Linked DNA regions of Elephas maximus indicus. The protein of the gene in region 1 interacts with the protein of each later gene in a biochemical or structural test. Links are inferred from orthologs where the notes say so. Each region holds a gene or a part of one and is shown in the gene's direction. Other genes may lie near its edges.

Region 1 (3,746 bases):
GATAAGTGTCCAGGGGCACCCCAATCTGCCAGTGAGCTTCCTGTCTGAAGGTGCTCCATTTTCTCAACCTGTGGGCTGGGAAGCCCACTGCACCATCTCCTGCCGGTTTCCTAGTTCTGCTGCCCCAGCCACCGCTTCTGTGCCACCGCTTCTCTGCCGCCATCTTCGGGTGTTACAGTGGTCTCTGTCTCCTGGATCTAGGAGGTTCTCTGTGCAAGAATCCTGGGTCCAAAGGACATGCTTTACTCCTGGCTCTTCTTTCTTGGTGGTGGTGAGAACCTGCCTTCCCACCTCTAAGAGGGCTCATTTTAAGCCTAGCAGGATGACAAAACTGGCCAATCCCCCCCTTAGGGTTTATTTGCATGGCCCCACCCCTACAAGGGTGCCCTGTGCCTTATTTACATTATTAGCAGGCTATCCAATCCCTTTGATGGGCTACAAGCATCTTATTTGTCTAGTTCCACTCAGTCATTTGGTGGGAGTTACAAAGACTATGGGTAGAAGGACCATATTAAGTAACTCACTGCACTGCACTTACATAACCTAGTACGATAATCAAAATTAGAAGACTTAACCCTGGTACAATAAAAAACTATTTAATATACAGTCAAATTTGCTGATTGTCTCAACATTGTCCTTTATAGCACCCCCCCTTCCAGCAACCAATCCAACCACTTATTGCATTTAGTTGTTGTGTCTTTGTAGTCTATGACCTGCAACAGTTTCTCATTTTTTATTTCTTTCCTGACACAGACATTTTTGGGAGAGTACAGAACAGTTATTCTGTAGCATGTCCCTCAGTTTTGGTTTGTCCGATGTTTCCTCATGATTAGATTCATTTTTTGTGCCGTTGACAGGATGGTGATGCTGCGTCTTCTCTGTGCATTACATCTGAGTCGCAAGAGGTCAGTTCGTCCTGTCTGATGTTAACGTGGACCCCTTGGTTAAGGTGGTGTCCGCAGTATCTCTCCTACAGAGATCGTATTTCCTTTTTTTACTTTTTAATAACTTGTGGCTATTTATGTGAAAGTCTTCGAATTTCCTTTCGATATTATGCGACAAAAAAGACGAGTCTTTTCTTTCAAGAAACGGATATCTATTTGTTGCTGAAAACATCCAGCAGCGTGCCTCTGGCAGCCCCAGCCTTTGTCAATAAAGTTATGAGAACAGGAGCCTTTCAGGAAAGGCGGAGAGGGGCCCGCCGCAAGGCATTAGGGGAATTGTAGTCTCTCTGGGAGTTCCCGGTTAAGCGCCGCCCTGTGGTCTCCGAGAGAATGAGCCAGAAGCCGAAATGGGAGGGCGAAGAGGGAGAGGCGGGGGGAGGGGGGGGCACTCTGGAATGCAATGAATCATGGGTGTGGTAGTTCATAGTGCCCGCTCCTGCCGCGCCTGCCTCCCCCGCGCAGGAGAACTAGACTACCCTACCCGATAGGCCACGCGCGCGGGGGATGGAGAAGCCGGCCTGGGCCTCGAACAAATCAAATCGAAGGAAAGAAACTGCCGGCTTTCAAAATCCTCCTCCTCCGCCATCATCCGCTGCCGTGTGGGGAGCAGGTGGTGTGGGAGACGTGAGTGGCTAGAAGCTGTGGGAGAGCGGACAGACGTGCGGGCTGGACATCGAGCCTCCAGGACTTAGAGACGGCGACCCCGACCTGACCTGACCCGGACCCTAAATCGCTCCCGGCCCTGCCGGGCTGAGGCGCGCGCTCGGGTCGCCCCACGCGGCGGCTCCGCCTGTTTACGGTAGGCTCGGGGCTCTTTTCCTTTCCCGTCACCTGCCTGGGATGGGAGAGGGGCGACCGGGCGACCTTGGACCTAGGCGAGGACGGTGTCCCCTCGGCCTCCTCCTTCATGCTGGCGACGGCCGAGCGCGGAGGTGAGGTGGGTGGGGTGGGGGGCGCTGGCCCCTTTCACAAAGGGGGAAACTGAGGTTCAGAGAGGACGCCCGACTCGCCCGACCGAGGCCGCCCAGCCCGCAGCTGCCAGCAGTGGCGTCGGTGGCGATCCCGGGTGGGGCTCCCGCGCTGCTCGCCTGTCACCGAAGGCCTGCTTTCACGCGTCGCTCCCCCGTCGCCGCGTCCCCATCGCCCACGGCCCGCGGAGGGCGCTGCAGCCCCCGGGGATCGGTGTGAGTCACGGCTGGCGCTTTTGGGTGAGCGATGCGTTTGCACCTGAGAAAGTCCCTGCGCTCCTGCCGAGAAGGGAGGCGGCTGTTTCCGTATTTACTGGTGGCCTTGGCTCTGCTGCTGATCCCTTGCTGACCTTGAACAAATCAATTCACCTCTGTGCTTCGATGTTTTTCGTCTTTAGAGTGGGTGGGAGGGGTCGACTGGACTGAGTGTGGGCCTCCTTCCAGCTGAGAAGATCTGTGTCCCCGTTCCACCTCGAAGCCCCACCACCAGGCTTCCAGCTTCAAATTGCCCCATCCCAGCCCTGGAAGAGGGGGTGGTGGTAATTTTTATTCAGTTTCATCCAGTCATTCTTCCAGCACTTTCTAAAGGCCAGGCCCTATACCGCAGATAGAGTGATCTGTCAAAACATACCTAAGGGCACATCATGTCCCTCATCACATCCTTCTGCTAGAAACTCCCAGTGGTTTTGTCACTTGGAGTAAGACCCACAGTCCTTAAATGGTCTTCGTGACTTGGGCCTCCTGCTCATACCTCCTTTCTCCCTCCCTCACTGCTCAGCCCCAAGGGGCTCCTCACAGTTCCCCTAACTCCCCTCTCCTTCCCCCACCAAGAGCCTTTGTGTTTGCTGTTCCCTTTACAGGAATCCCTTCCCCAGATACCTGCAGGGTGTAGTCCCTGTAGCCTTCAGATCTTATTGTCTCCTAATAATACTTTCCCTAACCGTTTTTGCTTTAACTTGCAAAAAACTCCTTACTCCCTTTCCTGTTTCTTCTTACCACTAACATACTAAATATCTTATTTAGAACATATGCTTTACAAGGGCAGGCTTTTTGTCTCTTACTGCCGTCCTCTTGGTACTTGGAACCATGTCCAACACAGAGTAAAAACAAAAAAACTGTTGCTGCAGAGTCAATTCCAACTCATGGTGACCCTGTAGGACAGAAGAAAACTGCCCCATAGGGCTCCCAAAACTGTAATCTTTACGGAAGCCAACTACCACATCCTTCACCTGTGGAGTGGCTTCGAACCAGGGGCTTCCAAAACTGTAATCTTTACGGAAGCCAACTACCACATCCTTCACCTGTGGAGTGGCTTCAAACCACTGCTGACCTTTTGGTTAGCAGCCAAGTGCTTAACCACTGCGCCACCAGGGCTCCTTTTAACACAGAGTAGTGATGCATAAACGTTTCTTGAATGAATGAGTGGATGCTTATATCCAGAATAAACCGAGCTTGCCGATAAAGACAAACAGACACAGACAAACCAGGGTAATGAGACTTCAGATCAGGAGAAGGGGGTGGGAAGCTGGCTGTTTGGAGGAGACCTGGGGGTGTGGGAGGATTGGGGAGCTCTCACAGCTGCGTCTTGAGGATGGCTGGATTGGGGGAGGAGTTCTGGGCAGGAGTCTCTCCATGGATACCTCTGAATTCTGAATCATTTATCAGCTCTCTTCCTTGGTCCCCCCTGATTACCTGCCATCTCTTCTTTGGGGAAGTGGAGTTGTCTTTTCTGCCGGTCTGCTGAGCTCCAGGCTGGAAACTCCTTTTTCTAGCAGTGCTGTCCCTGGCCTATTGTGATGGTGGCTGTTGTGACGTAGAGTGCTCTGGTCTCCTG
Region 2 (3,746 bases), on another chromosome or scaffold:
TCACCATTGAAAACATTTTAAGCCTTGTCTTAAAAGTATGATTTTAAGATTCAAAATCCAGAAGTAAACATAGGGGGAACACAGGTGTCCCACTATTTTGAGGTGTCTTTCACAGTGTGCCTATAAGGGTCCTGTCCCTCTCGCCACATCCTTCCTCACCCCTAGCACTCGGAGATTGTTATCCTACTCTTCTACTAAAATCATATATTTTTTTTTTTTGGACGATCACAGTTTTGTTAAACATATATGTAAACAAAACTCTGATCGTCCTATCTGACCTATATGTTAATAGGTCTCAAAATGTACTCTTTTATATAAAAGCGTGACTTTTAAAACGTATGCTTCGTATTCACACGTATCAGAATAATATATTTAACCAATCGCCTCCAGAATGGTTGTTCCAATTTACCAAAATGGCGAGACTGGTGGTTCTTTCCACAGCATTACGTAATTACAACGAAGAACGTAGGAACAAGACTTCGAAGAACTCAAAACATCCTGCTGATCTAGTTAAGAGTCCTGGGATCATACGTGGTACTGGATAGTTTTCCCCACGCCTCCTCCGGCGAGAGCCCTGCCGCCGAAAGCCGGAATCTGAGCCTGGCTCCGGTAGGCTGGTGTGCGGAGACCCGGCGGCCCGGCCGAGCCCCAGCGCGGCGGGAGGGCGGCCAGCGGGCGCGGCGGGCTGTGCGCAAGCGGAAGTCCGCGGGGCTGGCCGGAGGCCTCGCTGCCGTGGCCGGCGTGGCGCACAGTGCTGATGCAACACGCACGCACGTCCGGCCGCTCCTCAGCCGGCGACGACGCTGCGTCACGCGCTTTTGGGCGCTTCGTCCCCACAGACGGCCGAGCGCTGCGGGCCCCGAGGCTGGTCTCCCGCGCACCGGGAGCCAGGACGGGGCGCGATGAGGCGCAGCAAGGCTGACGTGGAGCGGTACATCGCCTCGGTGCAGGGCTCTGTCCCGTCGCCCCGAGAGGTAGGACGCCCCGGGGAGACGTGGGCCTCTGGCCCTGGCCCGGCTGCGGCCCGCGGCCCCGCGTCGGCTTCATGGCCCCCGGCCGGCCGCCGCTGCTTCGCGCGTTCCGTTGAGGCGGCGGCCGATCGCGCGGGCGCTGGGTTGCGTGGCGCTCGCGAGAGTGCGGGCGGACGGGGGGCGCGTGTCGGGGGCGAAGGAGCCGGGGCCGCGCGGGGCCTCGCGGCGGGGCAGCGGCCGGTGGCGCCGGCGCTTCCTCTTCCTGCTGGCCGGCGCCGAGCGTCCTCGCTTGCGGACCCGCCCTGGCCCTTGTTCCCTCGGCCGCCAGCGCTCCGCGGTGGGCTCTCGCCGCCGCTGTGCCCCCGCTTGGCGCCCCGGTGCCAGCTCCGGCGGGATTCTTTAGTCTCCGGGATTGTTAGCTCCCCGACCGCGGCGGAGGCGGCGGCACCTCCCAGGCTGGAAGTTGGTGGGACCCAGCGGGGACTGACGCAGCTCCGGGAGGGCTTTTCCTCGGGCCGGAGCAGGGGCTACCGCTACATTTGCGACTGCTTGACGCACAGCGCAGGTGACAAGGGATGGTCTCCTGTTTTGAGGTGTCCTGCACAGTGCTTCTAAGAGCCGGGTCCCTCTCATCATGTCCTTCACCACTCCTAGCTCTCTTTAGAAGCTTCTTTCGTTTGCTTTTATTGTTCTTTAATGGAATCTTAGGAGTTCTGGATTCCATAGAGAATGTCACTACTGTGACTTAAAAATTTTAACTTTTTACACAACATACTGTTAGGGAACTTTTCCTGTTTTAAGATAAACCATGTATTTTGGATTCAACAGGACTTTAGTGGTCGAACGTGGAGGGTAAGTGTGGCTGTGCAGAGGATCTAGAGTTGGTTTGCCTGAGGTTGAATCAGGGCTCTTAAGCTGTTAAATTGTGGAATTGGGCAAGTTAAACCGTTTTCTCATTAATAAAACGGAGTTGTAACGTTGATAGGATGATCCATATTAAACATTTAAGACAGAGCTTGGCACCTGTTGTTGTGTGCCGTGGATTTGATGTCGACTCACGGCGACGTTGTAGAGCTGCCCCGCAGCGTTTCCAAAGCGGTAATCTTTATGCAAGCAGATGGCCACATCTTTCTCCCAAGGAGCTGCTGGTGGTTGAAACAACCCACCCTGCAAGGTTAGCAGTTGAATTCTTTAACCACTGCGCTACCTGGGCTCCTTTCTTTGGCACACCAAACCCAAAACCAAACGCATTGCCATCGAGTCGATTCTGACTCATAGCGACCTTTGGCACACACTAAGCACTAAACGTTAGTGGCAGTTCATTTTTGTTTTTGACGTGAAAAGGACAGTCATCCTTTTTTTTGGGCAAGGAGGGTCCTATGATGATAAAGATCTGTTTAAAAATTTTAAAAGAGTTTTTAGAAAAGCAGAACTCTTGGATTATCATGATTGTAATAGCAACATAGTTGAGTCTCTGTCTATATCCCAGGCTTATGTTATCTTATTTAGTGCTCCCAACAACCCTGTGGATACTGAGACCTGGAGAGGTTAAAGATACAGTTTAGCTTAAGAGCCTTGTCATTCTTCAGGAGGGAATGAATAGGTATCTACATCTAATTGTAATTTTGAACTGCCGCATAGTCAGAAGTATTACCGGGCTGGCAGTGTCTACAAAGGACCTTCTTAAGGATTTCTGTACTCTCTGAAATTCGTAAGCCTTTTTCGTTGTTGTTTGTCTTGTTCTCAGTAAGAAGACACTGGCTTCCAAAATATTAAGAACTGCTGGACTAGGCAGAAGTTAGAGGGTATGGAAAATGACCTTTCAGCTACCTAATCTTTCCATCCAATAAAGTGAAGATGGGTGCAAAGTCTTAAGGATTGTTATTACGGTCACCTTTGTCATACACTCAAAGAATATTATTTTAATCAGATGTTTTCTTCAAAGAAGGTGAAGAAAAAGAAGGTTTAGAGCCTGAGAATGTCAGCGGGGTATGGATTAGCAAGTGAGTAACTTTGGAACATGCGAAGCCACTCTTTAAGCTTAGGTCTGAGTGAAATGACAAGATAGGGTGCTTTGAACAACTTAAGGAGCCCTGGTGGCATGGTCCTTAAGTCCTGGCCTGCTAACGGAAAGGTCAGCAGTTTGTACCTACCACATGCTCTGTGGGAGAAGGTTATGGCAGTCTGCTTCCATAAAGATTTACAGCCTTGTAAACCCAATGGGGCAGTTCTGCTTTGTTCTGTAGGGTTGCTAGGAGTTGGAATCCACTTGACAGCAGTGGGTTTGGGTTTGGTTGGACAACTTGGAAGGAGAGATGGGGGGAGCAGAGACAGTAGCAGAGTAGAAAGGGGTCTTAGTGTTTACTTCACTCATTTTGGTAGAGGCTGGTCATGTGTGAACTGACCATCCTTTTTAGGATGTTCAGGTTTTGGAGCGTGTTGATGGATCCATAATCTCTTATCTTCCTGGTCTTCCATTGTACTTTCATTTGCGTATCTCTTTATTTTACCTTTTTTCTACTCTTTCACGCTGCTTTTGCCCTTGTTGAAGACATCAGCCACCTGTTGTTGTTGGGTGCCATCGAGTCAATTCTGACTCACAGAGACTCCATTTGACAGAGTACAGCTGCCCCACAGAGTTTTTTTGGCTGCATTTTTTATGGAAGCAGGTCACCAGGTCTTTATTTGGCAAAGCTGCTAGGTGGGTTTGAACCACCAACCTTTAGGTTAGCAGCCAAGTGCTTAACTGTTGTGCCGCCAAGGCTCGTTATCAGT
Region 3 (3,746 bases), on another chromosome or scaffold:
CTTTTCCACTAAGGCATTTCTTGGTACCTGAGGTTTGTTTCCTCCGTATTATCCTATCAAAATTACCAGTATTCCAAAATATAATCACTTCAGACCACTGAAAAATCTAAAATCCCCTAAAACACATAATCCAAAATGCCCAACGTGGTTACTCTACTGTGTAATGAAATGGTCAGAAACGACGCTGTTACCCTGTAACACAGAACTAGGAGCTCAGAAGGACTTCTGCAATATGCTGCCCCCAAGATTTAGTATGCAGGCTCAGAAAGAGCACACGCAGTCACGATGCCCCTTAAGCCACATGACCGTCCTAGAAAGCAGAACCTTAAACGTATCAACTAGAGGAGAACTGCCTGTCTCTGAAGTTAAAACTAGGCAAGGGCAGCTGCAATTCGCGCAGCAGGGCAGATGGGCCGCTGACTAGTGAAAACGGGTGATGGACAGCTAAGGCCCTGTGCTCCGGCTGCTCCCCTTACCGTTGGACGATCTGGGAGGGAGGCTAGGTGAAACACCCCCAAAACCCTGGCCGCAAAGCCCCTGGCCGCAAAGGTGGGCTGTGGGGAGACAGGGGCAGCTCCGTGTGTGGTGGCCCTTTGTGAACGCGCACTCTGCGGCAGCTCGGATCTCACCGAGCCTTTAGGAGGGTGGACCGGGGCTGCCTCGCGCGGCCGAGGCGTGGAGCACACGGCGCCGCAAAGACAGGCCTGCGGAGACCCGCCATCGCAGCCTCCGCCCGGCTCGGGGGCCCTCCCTGTCCCAACCACCCCGGCCGCGCTGGGGACCGTCGGCTCCAACCCCAGCACCCGCGTGACGAGCCGCGCACCGGACTCTTTCCTCAGCGTAATCCCTCCGCTGCAGGCCGCGCACTAGTTTTAATCACGCCTCCCCCCTCCCGGCGTCACCTCCGCCCCTCGAGCGCCTTCCAGCAGCTTCCAGAAACGTCGCCTCCCCAAACCTAGCCACTCACACATGGCGGGCTCTGCAGTCCCCGGCCCCGCCCCTAATCGTCGCCGCAGCTGAAACTGCCGCTGCGGCAGCCGGGCGGACAGCCACGCCTCTGCGGAGCCCGACCGGAAGTGCACCCTTCTAGCCTTCCCCGCCAGGGCTTCGTCCTTTCAGGCCCCGCGCGCAGCAGGAAGGGGAACTCTTTTGCCGCGGACTGAAACCGGAAGCTGCTCACCGAAAGGGCCCGCTGGTGGGGGAGGAGCAGTCCGAGGGAACGTGAGGTGAACGTTGCTGTGGGTGTTGTGGGGCTCAAACTGGAACAGGAGTCCGGATCGAGCCGGTGTGAAGAAGGGGAGTGCCCGCGGCAGGTAAGGGGGAGGAAGGAGTAGTTCCCTTCAGCTCTCGAGATAGGAAATGAGGAAGTAGTTTGCACGCGGGGAAGGTGGGCTAGGTGGGAGGGGCAGGGCTGCGACTGGGTTCGCGTGGGAAGGGTTGATGCTTAAGGTGTCGTTTGGGCTCAGAGAGGTAAACGCTGAAGAGAAACCAGAGTTCGTTCCCTCTTCCAAGGTGCGTGGAGATGAGGGTTAACGGAACCCCACGCCTCCTCGGGTTTCCAAGGTTCGGATTCGAAACTGACCTCTCTTGGTTCTACGCGCCTCCGATTCGGGACGTCGGGGTTCGGTACCAGACTGCTCTGGGCGCTGAAGGCCGACCCCATTCCTCTGCTTTTTGTCGGTTGTGGCTTCGTGTTTTGACTGAGTGCTGAATGCACTTGGTTTCGGAGCGCACATTCAAGAGGGTATAAGGCCCCTCTCCGAACTGCTCTTTCTCCGAGTGTCCTCATTTTGCACACGGGACTGTGAATTACGTTTAATTGCACGTGTTTCGGGGTTCCCAGGGCCAACTTTACACGTCGTTGGCACCGCATACTGGGCTAGTCGTTCACATTAGGGCTCCTGGAGGATCAGTGGCTCACAGAAGTGTGAAAAGGAGGTGGTAAAAGAAAGGGGCTGAGGGTGAAGTGGAGTAGAGGAAGATGAGGCTGGAAAGCTAGATTGCCGTCGCAGTGCAACGAGCTTTAGGTCGGAAGGCTACCTTTAGGTTGTATTGATCTGTTTGGACTTTCCAATAATCGGCATGGAGTAAATAGATAACTTTGAGCTGAGCTGTGACAGAATCAGACTTGTTTTGTGGGAGCATCACCTTGGCAGTGATACAGAGTGGGGATGGGATGGACAGAGGTGGGATTTGGGACATTTCCAAGGTAAAGCCACAGAATTTGGTGAGTTACTGCGTGAAGCAGAGGGATTTTGCAGAGTAGAACGACTCAAATATTCTAACCTGTGTGCTTGGAAGGTTGGAGATACCAAAATTTGGGTGAGATATATATATATATATATATTTTTTATAGGAAGAGGAGCCAATTATTTTTGAAGGAGGGCGGCAGTGAGGGCATTTTTTTAGGGACAAATTAAGTTGTAGCAACCACTCTTAGGATTTTGCATCCTAGGACAAAATAATTGTGTTTGAAGGAAAATCTGAATAGTCCATCTCCGGCATTTTTTTAAGTGAGTGTTTTCTGGGGGAGTTTTGCATATTTCTGGGTTTCAGGACTTCAACTACCAGCCTACCTGCTTTCCTCATTGACATGTGGGTGGTGGGATCAGGAGAGCAGATTTGGAGGCTTGATTTTGGATATTCAGCGTCCTGGTGGTGCAGTGGTTAAGAGCTCAGCTGCTAACCAAAAGGTTGGCGGTTTGAATCCACCAGGCTCCTTGGAAACCCCGTGGGGCAGTTGTACTACAGGGTTATAGGGCTCTATTGGGTTGCTGTGAGTTGGAATCGACTCATCAACAGTGGGCTTGGTTTTGGTTTTCTCCATGTTTTAGTTTACTTTTATAATTGAGAGAGAGAGAACCATCCAAAAAAAAGCTTTCTAGATTTCTCAGGCAAATGAAAATTTTTATCAAAAATAATTTATTCGTGGTTAAGTCACCTCCTAGTTTTTCTTTTGAGAATATTGTAGGATGATGCAAGGTGTACTGCATATTTTCTACATAGAGCGAAGTGTAAAATTAGCACCAGATAAATAGTAGCTGCAACTTACTATGTGTCAGATGCTGTGTTAAGCATTTTCCATGCGTTACTTCATTTAGTTCTTAGAATAATCCAGTTTTACAACAAGAAATTTCTGAACACAGAACGGCAGATGCAAAGCCAATGCTTTTTAGCTACTCTGGAACTCCAGAAGTTTGAGCCGTTCTTGTATGGTTACCTTTGTAAGTAAATTATAAATAGAACAAACCGAAGGTAATAAACAAGTTGGTCCTGTGGCAGTGGTTCCTTACGGGCTGGTTTTGCCTCCAGGGGACATTTAGCAATGTCTGGAGATACTTTTGATAGTTACAGTGTGGGGTGGGGTGGGAAATGCTACTGGCATCCAGAGGATACAGGCCAGGGATGCTGCTGAACATTCTACAGTGCACTGAACAACCCTACAACAAATAATTATCAGGTCCAAAATGCCTGTAGTGCAGTGGGGATGTTTCCTCAGAAGTAGGAAATTGGGATTCATTAATACTAACTTGGAGCCCTGGTGGCGGAGTGGCTGAGATCAGCTGCTGACCAAAAGGCTGGCTGAATGAATCCACCAGCTGCCCCTTGGAAACCTATGAGGTGCTTCTACTCTGTTTTATAGGGTCGCTATGAGTCAGAATTGAGTCAACAGCAACGGGTTTTTTAATACTAACTTTCTTAAAAGTACTTTTATTTTTAAAATCATTATTTGTCCTGAAAGGTGT

What was found.
Region 2: the proteins of RANGAP1 (region 1) and E3 SUMO-protein ligase RanBP2-like form a complex in vitro, tested with the Homo sapiens proteins (5 studies listed by BioGRID and IntAct, with this or other methods). The link is inferred for Elephas maximus indicus from reciprocal best matches to the Homo sapiens genes RANGAP1 and RANBP2.
Region 3: of the proteins of RANGAP1 (region 1) and USPL1, one has a biochemical effect on the other in vitro, tested with the Homo sapiens proteins (2 studies listed by BioGRID). The link is inferred for Elephas maximus indicus from reciprocal best matches to the Homo sapiens genes RANGAP1 and USPL1.

Annotation. Positions count from the first base shown.
Region 1 is NC_064822.1:185,455,189-185,458,934, reverse strand, and holds the start of RANGAP1 (ran GTPase-activating protein 1), read left to right. Parts: upstream 1-1,493; 5' UTR 1,494-1,743; intron 1,744-3,746. UniProt on the Homo sapiens protein: GTPase activator for RAN. Converts cytoplasmic GTP-bound RAN to GDP-bound RAN, which is essential for RAN-mediated nuclear import and export. Mediates dissociation of cargo from nuclear export complexes containing XPO1, RAN and RANBP2 after nuclear export.
Region 2 is NC_064835.1:77,082,976-77,086,721, reverse strand, and holds the start of E3 SUMO-protein ligase RanBP2-like, read left to right. Parts: upstream 1-785; 5' UTR 786-902; coding exon 903-974; intron 975-3,746. UniProt on the Homo sapiens protein: E3 SUMO-protein ligase which facilitates SUMO1 and SUMO2 conjugation by UBE2I. Involved in transport factor (Ran-GTP, karyopherin)-mediated protein import via the F-G repeat-containing domain which acts as a docking site for substrates.
Region 3 is NC_064841.1:63,260,551-63,264,296, forward strand, and holds the start of USPL1 (SUMO-specific isopeptidase USPL1), read left to right. Parts: upstream 1-1,107; 5' UTR 1,108-1,313; intron 1,314-3,746. UniProt on the Homo sapiens protein: SUMO-specific isopeptidase involved in protein desumoylation. Specifically binds SUMO proteins with a higher affinity for SUMO2 and SUMO3 which it cleaves more efficiently. Also able to process full-length SUMO proteins to their mature forms.